Linked DNA regions of Notamacropus eugenii. The protein of the gene in region 1 purifies or fractionates together with the protein of each later gene. This does not show direct contact. Links are inferred from orthologs where the notes say so. Each region holds a gene or a part of one and is shown in the gene's direction. Other genes may lie near its edges. The genes, in order: SCFD1, NAPA and NSF.

Evidence for each region.
Region 2: the proteins of SCFD1 (region 1) and NAPA purify together in Homo sapiens (affinity purification with mass spectrometry; 3 studies listed by BioGRID and IntAct, with this or other methods). This does not show direct contact. The link is inferred for Notamacropus eugenii from reciprocal best matches to the Homo sapiens genes SCFD1 and NAPA.
Region 3: the proteins of SCFD1 (region 1) and NSF purify together in Homo sapiens (affinity purification with mass spectrometry; 3 studies listed by BioGRID and IntAct, with this or other methods). This does not show direct contact. The link is inferred for Notamacropus eugenii from reciprocal best matches to the Homo sapiens genes SCFD1 and NSF.

The regions. Positions count from the first base shown.
Region 1 is NC_092878.1:47,288,934-47,292,933, forward strand, and holds the start of SCFD1 (sec1 family domain-containing protein 1), read left to right. Parts: upstream 1-1,257; 5' UTR 1,258-1,335; coding exon 1,336-1,393; intron 1,394-4,000. UniProt on the Homo sapiens protein: Plays a role in SNARE-pin assembly and Golgi-to-ER retrograde transport via its interaction with COG4. Involved in vesicular transport between the endoplasmic reticulum and the Golgi.
Region 2 is NC_092876.1:29,451,502-29,455,501, reverse strand, and holds the start of NAPA (alpha-soluble NSF attachment protein), read left to right. Parts: upstream 1-1,781; 5' UTR 1,782-2,002; coding exon 2,003-2,100; intron 2,101-4,000. Other genes in the region: uncharacterized protein, read right to left, coding at 793-1,527. UniProt on the Homo sapiens protein: Required for vesicular transport between the endoplasmic reticulum and the Golgi apparatus. Together with GNA12 promotes CDH5 localization to plasma membrane.
Region 3 is NC_092873.1:347,525,745-347,529,744, forward strand, and holds the start of NSF (vesicle-fusing ATPase), read left to right. Parts: upstream 1-1,437; 5' UTR 1,438-1,735; coding exon 1,736-1,747; intron 1,748-4,000.

The DNA.
Region 1 (4,000 bases):
CAGATCAGACCAAAAAGATTCCCAAGCATTTCATCACTGGAGTGAATTTTTCTTGTATTGAAAAGACAGATCCAAATACCTCAAGATTTTTACAAGTTCCAAGGCAAGCTGAGGATTAAATTGCTTGCTATCATTATGTATATTTAAGGGAGAAAGGAGAGCAACTGTCCCAACATTTAGATAGCTTCACTGAAAAAAGGGAAAGGCTGGGTTCAGTGGATGGGGGAAGGGCGAACCTGTTAACCTTACTGTACAGCACTGTGCATGCTTTATTATTACCTTTAATCTCATAATTCTGTTTCTTATCGTGGTACAGTATTCAGCCTGTCTGTCTGTCTGTATTTTACGGCCTGTAAAGGTGTCCTTTTGCGCATGTTTCTGTTACACAGCCCAAGTGAGAGGGGCGGGTGGGCAGGAGCAGACTCACATTCCCAGTGGGGGTCCGCAGAATGGTCAAAGGGTGTTACACGTTCACGCGTGACCTTTGTGTGGGCTGTTCAGTTTTCCATCTCTGGCGGGCAGATTAAAATATCAGTGAATACGTTCAGGCCACTTAAAAGATTACTTAGAGTAGGACTAGCAAGCATTTTGGAGCGTCATTTTTCTTCAGTATTGGGTCATTTCTAGGACAGGTAACCAGGAGCGTTTTGTGATTTCACTCAACCGTGGGTGTGGAAAATAAAAACAGCTGCCGGTAGGAAAAAAGGATGGCTACATTTGAATAGCGGCCATAATTTTATTGTAAGTTTTAGGTGTGTAAATAGCCATTTAAAATGTACACTGCCAACTCTGGTGAAGCTTCAGAACTGATTGAGCAGTACGTCAGTGTTGATCCATTGATTACGGGAGATGAACTGTCATATGTACCCATTTTTTGAAGTGCAATAAACTCTAAGGATTCAAACTGAAAACTGATTTGGGGTGATTTGTAAAATAATAGTTAAATAAATTCACGCACCTTTTTCTCGAGGCATCCTTCCCCTCCCCCACTTTCCCACAAGGATGGGTCTGCTTTAGCACCGTCTGGAGTCTCCACGACCGAAGGGGAAAAGGCCAAAAGGCCGACGATTAACTCGTGGGATCACCTGCCACACACGTGACAGCCCCCCCCTCCCCGAGCGACCCGCTTCCCACCCTGCAGCACGGCCCCATCCGGGGATTTTAAAAATCTCGGCGCGCGCAGCGCGGGCCCGGAGCCACGTGACCCCATGACGCAGAGGAGGCGGGGCCGGCGGGCCACGTGTCCTCGGCCGCGCCGCTTCCCGCCCCCTTTCCTTCCGGGGGCGTTGGGGCAGCCACGTCATCCTGCCGCTCCGGGCTTCGGGCCGGCGGTGAATGGTGGGAGTCAAGATGGCGGCCGCGGCTGCAGCCAGCATCCGAGAGAGGCAGACAGGTACCCGCTCGCTTCGTGCCCCCGCACTGCTCCTCCTCCTCCCCCCCGCCCTGGGCCGGGCTGTGCCGGCCTGGCCCTGCCACCGCGGGGGCGGCGGGAGCGGGCTCGGCTCGGCTCGGGCAGCCCCGGCTCCTGCCCCGGGCCCGCTCCGCTCCGCGCCTCACCCCTCCGGACTCGGGCCCCCGGCGCTCACCTTCCCAGCCTGCGGGCGGCCGCCACCCGGCTTCCCCTCTGCGCCCTGGCGGGGCCTCCCGGAGCCGGGAGGAGTCCCCAGGGGTCCCCCGGTGCACGGATTCATCCGCCCGCTCAGGGGGACGGGCGTCCTGGGGTCGGGCAGGGGCGCTTGTCCGTGGGGGGCACGCTGCTGCCGCCGCTGCTTGGGTCGCTGCCGGAGGTGCTCAGTGGCGGGGGCTCCCACCTCCCACGCCCTCGGGGGGTTTGGCCGGCTGGTGGACCTACGTGGGCGTTACACCCAGGGGCGTGTTTCCAGGATCAGGTGGGCCTGCTGATGGCCTTGGTTCACCAACTTACCTGACCTCCCGCGGGTGCACTGAAGACGCTGGTGGTTTCTGGCATCTGTTGCCCTTTCGTGCGTCCTTCCTCCTACTTTTTAACGAGTAATCTGGTCTTTGGATCACAGGGTGTAAAAGACTTGCCAAAGTTTCATTAATAGGAGTAGCAAAATTAGGATTAATTCCTAGATTCTTAGACTTCAAATTTAGTGTTCTTTCTAATATACTACCAGATGTGTGAAGTTTTTATTATTCACTCAGCAAACCCTATCCTATGTTTTAAGTACAGTGAGTAGACAGTCTAGCCAGAGAACAGTAGCGTTATGGAGGATGTGGGAGACATGAGATTGAAAAATGTAACCCCAGGGATTTGTTTTGGACTCCCTTCTCTCTGCTCTCTTGATAAGCTTAGCTTCTCCCTTTTCAGTTTCACCCTGTCTCTGCTGCTGAGTCTCAGATCTATAATTTTATCCTCACTTTTGCATTCTAAAGTCCATTTTACCAACTGCTGGATATATATGTATATGCACATATATATGTATGAGTGTGTATATATGTATGCATACATACATGCACACACACACATATATATCTATATACACACACATATACACATATATCCATTATTACCAAATGCTAGAACTGTCCAGCCATTTTTAGTAACCCCTCCAGACTGCGCCTGAGACTTTGCTTTGAACTTTGCTGTCTTCCAAACGCATTTTGCAAAGCCCTTTCTCAGGAAAATTGTGCCGAGGGCTTTAGGGGACCATGATGGAGCGTCCTAGTAATTGATAAAATTGCCTCTTCTTTTTACCATCTCCTGCTCACAGCTGGAGTCAGATTTGGTTGTCTCCTCTAATGAGCTTCACGCAGGAAACACATCTTGCTGTGGTAGAAAGAACTTCTGGATTATGAATCAGAGGCCAGAGACTTGGCTTTCAATTCTAGCTTAGTCACTTATTGTGTAACCTTAGGTTAAATACACTTTCATTCTGGGCCTCAGTTTCCCCGTCTATAAAGATATTTGACTTCCTAAGTTCCCTTCCAGTTCTTTGCTGTTTCCGTAGTTCCCTGTTAAAAGATTTTGCTGAAGTTTGAAGATGTATTTTTTTCTCTTGTTTTTTCCTTTTTAAAAATTTATTTTTAGTTTTCAACATTCACTTCCTGTTGTTAATTGTCCATTTCTCCCCCATGGCTTATGCTTAGTTTTGCTGAGTAGATGATTCTTGGTTTTAATCTTAGCTACTTTGACCTCTGGAATTTCATATTCCAAGCCTTCTGATCCCTTAATGTGGAAGCTGCTAAATCTTGTGTTATTCCGATTGTGGTTCCATGATACTTGAATTGTTTCTGGCTGCTTGCAGTGTTTTCTCCTTGACTTGGGAACTCTGGAATTGGGCTATAATATTCCTGGGAGTTTTCATTTTGGGATCTCTTTCAGGAGGTGATCAGTGAATGCTTTCAGTTTCTCTTTTACTTTCTGTTTCTAGCATAAAAGGGCAGTTTTCCTTGATAATTTCTTGAAAGATAATATCTAAGCTCTTTTTTGATCGTGGCTTTCAGATAGTCCAATAATTTTAAAATTATCTTTCCTGGATCTATTTTTCCAGGCCAGTTGTTTTTCTAATGAGATATTTCACATTGTCTTCTATTTTTTTATTCTTTTGGTTTTGATTTGTAATTTCTTGATTTCTCATAGAGTCATTAGCTTCCATTTGCTCCATTCTAATTTTTAAGGAATTATATTCTTCAGTGAGCTTTTGATCCTCCTTTTCCATTTAGCCAATTCTGTTTTTTAAGGCATTCTTCTCCTCATTGGCTGTTTGAACCTCTTTTGCCGTTGGGCCTAGTCAATTTTTTTTTAAAGTGTTACTTTCTTTGGTATTTTTGGGGATCTCCTTTAGCAAATTGTTGACTCATTTTTCATGATTTTCTTGTATCACTTCTCAATTTTTCCTTTACTTCTCTTAGTTGATTTTCAAAAGCCTTTTTGAGATATTGCATGGCCTGAAACTAGTTCATATTTTCCTTGGAGGCTTTGGATATAGGAGCTTGGATTTTGTTTTTTTTCTGAGCGTATGTTTTGATCTTCCTT
Region 2 (4,000 bases), on another chromosome or scaffold:
AGACACGTCTGGTATGAGTCTACTGGACATCCAGTTTGAGCTGTCTGAAAGGCGCCTGGAGATCAAGAGAGGCTGGGGCAGGAACAGGAGACTTGAGAGTTATCAACGCTGCTGTCCATTGTGTCCAACTCTTTGTTGAACCCTTGGCAGAGATACCAGAGTAGTTTGCTATTTCCTTTCCCATGGCCACAGATAAACAGGGTCAAGTCACTTGCCCAGGGTCACACAGCTAGAAAGTATCTGAGGCCAGATTTGAATGAACTCAGGTCCTCCCGATTGCGATTGCGGTGCTCTAGCCATTGTGCCCCCCCAAGTTATCAGTATAGAGATGGTAATTAAATCCATGGGAGGGAATGAGGTCACCAGGTGAAGTAGCACAAGGGGAGAAGGGAAGACAGCCCAGGCAGGAACGCGGGGGTCAGAGGGCACGATGTGAAGGAGGATCCAGCAAAGGAGAAAGAGGGATCAAGAAAGGGAGGGACAGGAGGAGAGTGCTCTGCAGGGCCAAGGGCTGCAGAGGTCAAGGAGAATGAGGACTGAGGAAAGGCCACTGGATCGGAGATCATCAGTAACTTGGACAGCGCGGTGTTGGCATGATCAAGTCTGAGGCCGCGCTGTCGGGCTCTAAGAGGACAAAGTGGGGCCCCAGGATGGCATGTTTGTGGGCGCAGGGAATCATCCCCTAGAGAGGAAGGGATGAAATGGGATCAGCCTCGTGGGGAGGGCAGTGATGGAGGAGGGGGCAGGAGGACCTGCGTGATGCCGGTGAGGAAGAGGGAACTCACCGTAGCTTCAGCCTTCCCGGAGAGGAGGAGGTAAGGCTCTCGAGCTTGGGGCGGGCCGAGACATCAGGGATGGAGGGGGGGCGGGCCGGCAGCACCCACCGAGGGCCCAGCTCGCGTCAGAGGAGCTGCGGGATTTCCTCCACCTCCCTTCAGCAGCCCGGGGCAGCCGCTGAGCAGAGGACGCCTGGGACAGGCAGTGGGCACAGAGCCTCCCTGGAGGCGCCGGGCAGTGTCGGAGGAGGAGGTCAGCCTGGGCCGAGGCGGGAGGAGGCGGTCGCTGGCTCTTTCTGTCTCCTGATCCGTCACGTGAGGGAGCAGTCCCTCGGTCCGTCTCCGGAGCCCAGGTTCCCAGGAGGGCAGGAGCCCCGTGCCTGGGGCGGGCCGGGAGGGGGCCGGGCTCCCCTTCTTCCTGGTGACGCCGGAGCGGAGTGGGGAGCTCGGCCGGAGAGCCCCGCCTTCGTGCCCTGGGACACTCCGGCCAGCGCAGAGAGGGCCACGTGGGGCCAGTCCTCCGCAGTCGCTTTCTGCCCTTGGCGACGGCGCACTCAGAAAGCAGCTGCTCGGCTCTCCGCATGCGCCCTGTGGCCCCCTGGGACCTGGGTCTTTCACCTTCATTCCCTGGTTTGGTCAACAGAGGGAGAAGACCCAGTAAACAGGCCCAGCAGCCTGAGCATGCGCCTTTGCGTGGTGTTCCAGCGGCCGCGCAGGCGCATTTCATTGTTTCCTCGGCCCACCTCGACATGCCATGACAGCGCCTATCAAAGACGCACGCTTACCCTCCCCTAGCGCACGCGCAATGGGTGGAAAATCCTTCCTACCCCTTTTCTTCGGGTAACCACAACATCCGGGGCAAGGGGGGCGGGCGGGAGGCGAGGCATCGGGATGGGAGGGGTGAAAGTTAGGAAGTTGTCACCTGATGCTAGGTATCTTGAGTCACGTGCTGCAAGACCGACGGGAGGCAGGTCTGGCGAGAGGACGGCGGGCAGGGATTGGCGCACAGGAGTCACGCGGCTCTACGAGGCTGGAGGTGGAGAAAGGGGGTGTGCGTTGGGGCGGGGCCCACCGGCTCGAGGGGTCGGTGATTGGCCAATGCGGATCACGTGCCTCGCGTCTGCCGCCGTCCTCCGTCGTCGTCGGTCGTCTTAGCCCTCCTCTGTTGTGGTTTCCCGGCTCTGCCCTGCCCCTGTGCCCCCCGAGACTCCGGCCGCTTCCCCGCCATGGACAACTCCGGCAAGGAGGCAGAGGCGCTGGCTCTGCTGGCCGAGGCCGAGCGCAAGGTCAAGAACTCGCAGTCCTTCTTCTCCGGCCTCTTCGGGTGAGAGCGGCCGGCCGGGGGGCGGGCCAGGGAGGGGGCGGGGAATGAGGGGACCCGGCCTGGGACTGGGGGGGTTGGGGAATGAGGGGACCCGGCCTGGGACTGGGGGGCGGGGAATGAGGGGACCCGGCCTGAGACTGGGGGGGTTGGGGAATGAGGGGACCCGGCCTGGGACTGGGGGGGTTGGGGAATGAGGGGACCCGGCCTGGGACTGGGGGGCGGGGAATGAGGGGACCCGGCCTGGGACTGGGGGGCGGGGAATGAGGGGACCCGGCCTGGGACTGGGGGGCGGGGAATGAGGGGACCCGGCCTGGGACTGGGGGGGTTGGGGAATGAGGGGACCCGGCCTGGGACTGGGGGGCGGGGAATGAGGGGACCCGGCCTGAGACTGGGGGGGTTGGGGAATGAGGGGACCCGGCCTGGGACTGGGGGGGTTGGGGAATGAGGGGACCCGGCCTGGGACTTGGGGGGTTGGGGAATGAGGGGACCCGGCCTGAGACTGGGGGGGTTGGGGAATGAGGGGACCCGGCCTGGGACTGGGGGGCGGGGAATGAGGGGACCCGGCCTGAGACTGGGGGGGTTGGGGAATGAGGGGACCCGGCCTGGGACTGGGGGGGTTGGGGAATGAGGGGACCCGGCCTGGGACTTGGGGGGTTGGGGAATGAGGGGACCCGGCCTGAGACTGGGGGGGTTGGGGAATGAGGGGACCCGGCCTGGGACTGGGGGGCGGGGAATGAGGGGACCCGGCCTGGGACTGGGAGTGGGGTGTGTGAGGAGGGGCCCTGGGAGGGTGATGAGGGCCCCGGGGAAGGGAGTCTTTGGCTAGTGGAAAAGGGTCAGCCCCGGGGATGAAGCCAGACAGCTGCTGCTGGGGGGGAAAGGGTTTGGAGCCTGATGGTCTCTGTTCCCATCCAGGCTCTCCCATTTACTAGCTGTGTGACTGTAGGCAGGCCCTGTGACTTCTGTGGGCCTCAGTTTCCTCACCTGTAAAATGAGAGGATCCTGCGGGCAGTAAATATTTGATGCCTTGGAGAGTTTAAGGAGGGGAACGTAGGACTGAAGAATGTGAGGAGGGGATATTGGGGTACCAGGCAACTAAAAACTAAGGAAGTGGAGGGATGGAGAGTAGGGAGAGAGGGGGAGGGTGTGTGTGGTGGGCATGGAGAATTGAGAAGGGAAATAACTTGATTGTTTGTGCCTTTAATTTCTTTCCACTTCTCTTTTCTCCCTCGTGAATTCCTTGAAAGCAAGAAATGTGTCGCTTTTAATCTTTGTAGTTCAGGGAACTTCCAGAACAATTGTTCATAATAAACTTTGGTTGCCTTGATTTGAAAGAGGTAAGGAATATGGTCTAAAGCAGGGATGGAGAACTGTGGCCTCGAGGCCACATGTGACCTCCGAGTCCTCAAGTGCAGCCCCTTGGCTCAATCCAAACTTTATAGAATAAATCCCCTTATTAAAAGGATTTGTTCTGTAAAACTTGGAGAAGGTCAAAAAGCCATACCCAAGGACCGAGAAGGCCACATGTGGCCTTGGGGAACAGCTTGCTGGCGGGCACAAAGAAAAAAGACTTGGAAGAAAAACTGAGGAAGAGGGGCTAGAAAGTATAGAAAGCTGTATTAAGAAGGCCTGCAGTATTGGAAGACCCTGGAATGGGGGCACTAGATCTGGAAGAAAAAGTGGGGAGGAGAATATTCAGATACTTGGACATGGGAAACAGTGAGAGCCGAGAACTGGAAGTGGAGAGAAGCTGGGGAGTGGGGAAGTGAGTGTTGACAGTTACGTGTCTGGAATTCCCAACTCCCTGCATTGGACAGGGATTTGTTTTCCCACTTATTCCCAAGAGAAAAAGTTAAAGTTTAACTTAAGGGGAGGGTCACGGTGAGACAGTTCCTTGGAG
Region 3 (4,000 bases), on another chromosome or scaffold:
TTCCTTGGGCAAGTCATTAGACTTTTCTGGATGTCAGTTTCCTCCTTTGTAAAATGTGTATTGCACTAGACCGCCCTGAGGTCCCTTCCAGGTCTAAATCTATGATCCTATGGTCTAATGGAATGTTATGGACATGCTAGGCAAATCCTTTATGAAGGATTGACGTGAGCACATGAACAAGAGTCATACTCAATAAGAAAGTGTGGATAAGTTGCTATCTGCACAGGTAGAGGGACTACTCATAAAGACAAATCATGGATCCAATGAAGGACCGAAATATAACAACCCAAGACAGATGATGTAAATATTCTTACTTCTATTTTACAGTGAGGATACTGAGGGTGAATGAGAACAAAGTAGGTCCTATAGTGTCAAAAATTCAACTTCATTAAAAAAGTATCTATGAAACACTTATTATATGCAAGGCACTGAGGATACAAAGAAAATGGAAACAGTCCCTGCCTTAGTGGAGCTAATTAACATTTTACAAGGGTCTGAGTAAAAACATAAATTGAGGAGAGAGAGATTAGCGGCAGCTCTGTAGATGAGGCTTTGAGTAGGACCACCAAACAACATCGTCGGTAGCGCCTGGCTCCTCCCCAGGAGGATGGCCACCGAGTGACAATTTGTCTTTACTGCAGCAGCTCTTAAGGGACATCTACTTAGGTGTGGGTGAAGTGACCACACAATGAAGTCAAGGATCTTCAGAAATCACAGTTCCAGCGACGAGCTTGCCTGAGATCAGGGCCAGCACTCTGCAGGGTGCCTGGCAGGGGGCAGGTCCTTACTGCTTATGGACAGCATGATTGATCGGGTTGAGGATACAATGACACCCGTGACTTCACTGGTAAAGGAAACATTGTCTACAAATGCAGGTGGGCACCTTCTCTGTAACTTCTAAGCTAAACTTCCCCTGGGTGTCAGGCAGGACTTGGAACCACGATCTTCCTGTCCGGCTCCCCACTCCATGACGGCACAAAGAAAAGTTAAACAGGGCCGGTGGAGGTTAATAGCGCCGGACCGAGCTGGAACCAATGACCACTGGCTCTGGCCACCAGTCAGGGCTTGATTGATTGTTTTGATGATTGTCTAGATTTAAGAAAGTGATGAAGAAAATGTTAATAATACAGACTGAACTTAAAGGTGTATCTTGGGTACATTTGAAAAAGAAAGCCGGTTGTTAAACATTTACAAGCCTACCCTCTGGTAGCAATCCAATTCATCCATGCGGACTTGGGGACAGAAAGCGAGTTAGGAGTCAGGATTTGGATGGACCCGAGGTCCACACCCTTCCAACTCTGCCATTCTATGTTTAGAGGAGTGACATCACATGGGAGGTACAAGGGCCTGACCCAGTCCAAAGGCGAGGAAGCTTCCAGATTCCAATTCAAAATGACGACATGAAGCCCCTCCCCCGCCCTCCTCCGCGGTCCTCCCGCAGCTGCGCATTTTCCGAGCTGCAGCCCGCAGGGAGGTGGAGGAGGAGGAGCGCTACCACCAGCTCTCCAGGCTCGGGAGGGGCGCTCGCGTGGCACAGTGAGCGCGAGCCCGAGCCGCGGCGGCGCGCGCTCCCGAGCGTGTGGCCTCAGCGGTGCCGCGGAGGGGAGAGCGCCGGAGGCGACGGGACAGGGTGGCCGCACGCGCGTCCGCGTCTCTGCGGCTCTGCGGCTGCGCGGCGGGGGCGTGCTTAGCGGCGGGCGAAGCTGCAGCTGGGGAGCCGTACTTGTCGGTTAAGATGGCGGGCCGGGTGAGTGAGGGTCCGGGAGCGGGGCAGTCGAGGCAGGCTCTGGGCTCCGGGTATCCCTCTCTCTGCGTAAGGCTTGTCGTCCCCGGGGGGCAAGGGTCGGGTAGAAATTGAGGGGGGCATGGGGAGGAGGTGGTTACAGGTAAAGTCAGGGAAAGGAGCGTGGGCTGGAGGAGCGATTGTGAGGAGGAAGGGGCTGGCGCCCCTCGGGAGGTCCGAGGCGGCAGAACCCCCTCCCCCCGCGCTGCGCTCCGGGCTCCGGCAGCCCCCTTGCTGGCCAGCCGGGCAGCGGCCGGTGCCCCTTGCTTCCCCTGTCCACCCCGCTGAGCTGCCCATCCTGTCAGGGCCGGTGTGAGCCAGAGTGTGTGTGAGAGTGAGGTGGGGGTGGTGATAGAGGGTAGAATGACTCAGTGTTCGAGCCGTGGTTGTGCGGGGGTGACCTGTCACTATCCTTGCGGGGCAGAAAGATGCTGGTGCAGAATCTCACTTAGCGGGGTTCGAGGGGGGAGGGGAGGTGTTTTGTCTTAATGAATGACCCTGCTCGGAATGCCTTAGTGCATTGCCCTGCTTGGGGCTTTTTCTTCCTACTTCCTCCTTTAGCCTATCTCAGAGTAAATGTGGGAAGGGCTGGGTGAGGATGCGGCTGGGTTATGTGCTGAGCGGCTGTACTGCAGTACAGTCTGTAGCAGAACCCAGAGGCGATGGTGCATCTTGCACCTGCTGCAGACCTGGGCAATATTAACTTCGTCATTAGGGACTTAGAGGGGCTTTTCTGAGTTGCTACTTGTGCTAAGCCATTGGAATGGATTATATACCAATGACTAGAATGTACCTGTGTGGCATATATATGTGCCTCACCCCAGAAGTACAGGTCATAGAATCTTAGAATCGGAAGGCTCCTCAGAGGTCACGTAGAATTCTTGTGCTCATGCAGTAATGTCTCTAACAATCTCTTAGATGTTCATTCAGGCGCTAGTGAAACATTGTCGATGAAAGGGAAACTCATTAGGTAACAAAGTAGCTTCTGCCATTCATTGTTGAGCATTTCAGACTTTGTTAGGACGTTCTAATTTATATTAATCTGAAAATTACCAACCTGCATGGCTGTAGCTTTGACCCTTTTGCCCTACTTATGTCCTTTGGAGTCTCACAGAATAAATATTAATCCCTTTTCTACAAGAGAGTTCATCAAACGTTTGAAGAAAATGACCATGTCTCCTTTTCTTGTAGATGTTAAAGCATTGCCATTTATTTCAAACTTTCCAAATTGATGTAATTCCTAAATATTTCATAAACCTGGTTATTCTTCTGTATGTCATTTCCATTTTGTCATTGTTCTTCTTCAGGTGTGTGGCTGTGGTACTGAACACAAGACCCTGGATATTGTGTCTTCCGTGCAGAGTACAGTGGAATTTGTTATCACCCTTAAACTGGGCATTATATTTTAATACTGCACTCTGTTTACATTAGGTATTTTTATGATTATGTCACATTCGCTTACATTGTGTTCCTGCTGAACTATTTTACCCTTTGGTCTTATTTACATGAACTGTTAAACCAAATTTCTCACATCCTGAGTTCGTGCAGGATTTTACATTCAATCAAAAAATTTAGTCTTATGGAAGAGACAAAAAAGAAAAAATACATGGTCCCTGTAATCAATAGTATACCCATTAAATCTGATAGTGTTGGTTCAGTTCTGTTATTTTTTTCATTTTGATTTGGAGATATGGCATTTTAGCTTTTCTCCCTGTATTGTCCACAGATTTGATAAGCACATCTTATATTTTTATTTACTTCATTGGTAACAGTGTTGCCATTAGTCAACACTCTTTGAATATGTTGATTTTACAGCTCACATTTCTCCATTTTATTCGGAGGGTTATCATGTGGTTAAATGGGAAAAGTCCTGGTTACTTGTGTGACCTTGGGCAAGTCACCTAACCTTACTGGGCCTCAGTTTTCTCATCTATAAAATGAAGAGGTTAGGATAGATGACCTCGGGGCCATTACAAGTCTAAATTCATGATCTCATGAAATATTTTTACTGAAATTGAAAAAAACTGTTTATGGTATATTCCTGATCCACTTGTCTAGTAAACAAACCTATTTAAAAAGATGCAGGATTAGTTTGACTTTATAGGTTCTTGAATCCAGTGACACTGCCCTCTTTGCTGTTCCTTGAATAAAATACCCTATTTCCCACCTGTGAGCTGGCTGCCCCCATCCCTGGAACACACTCCTACCTTATCTCTT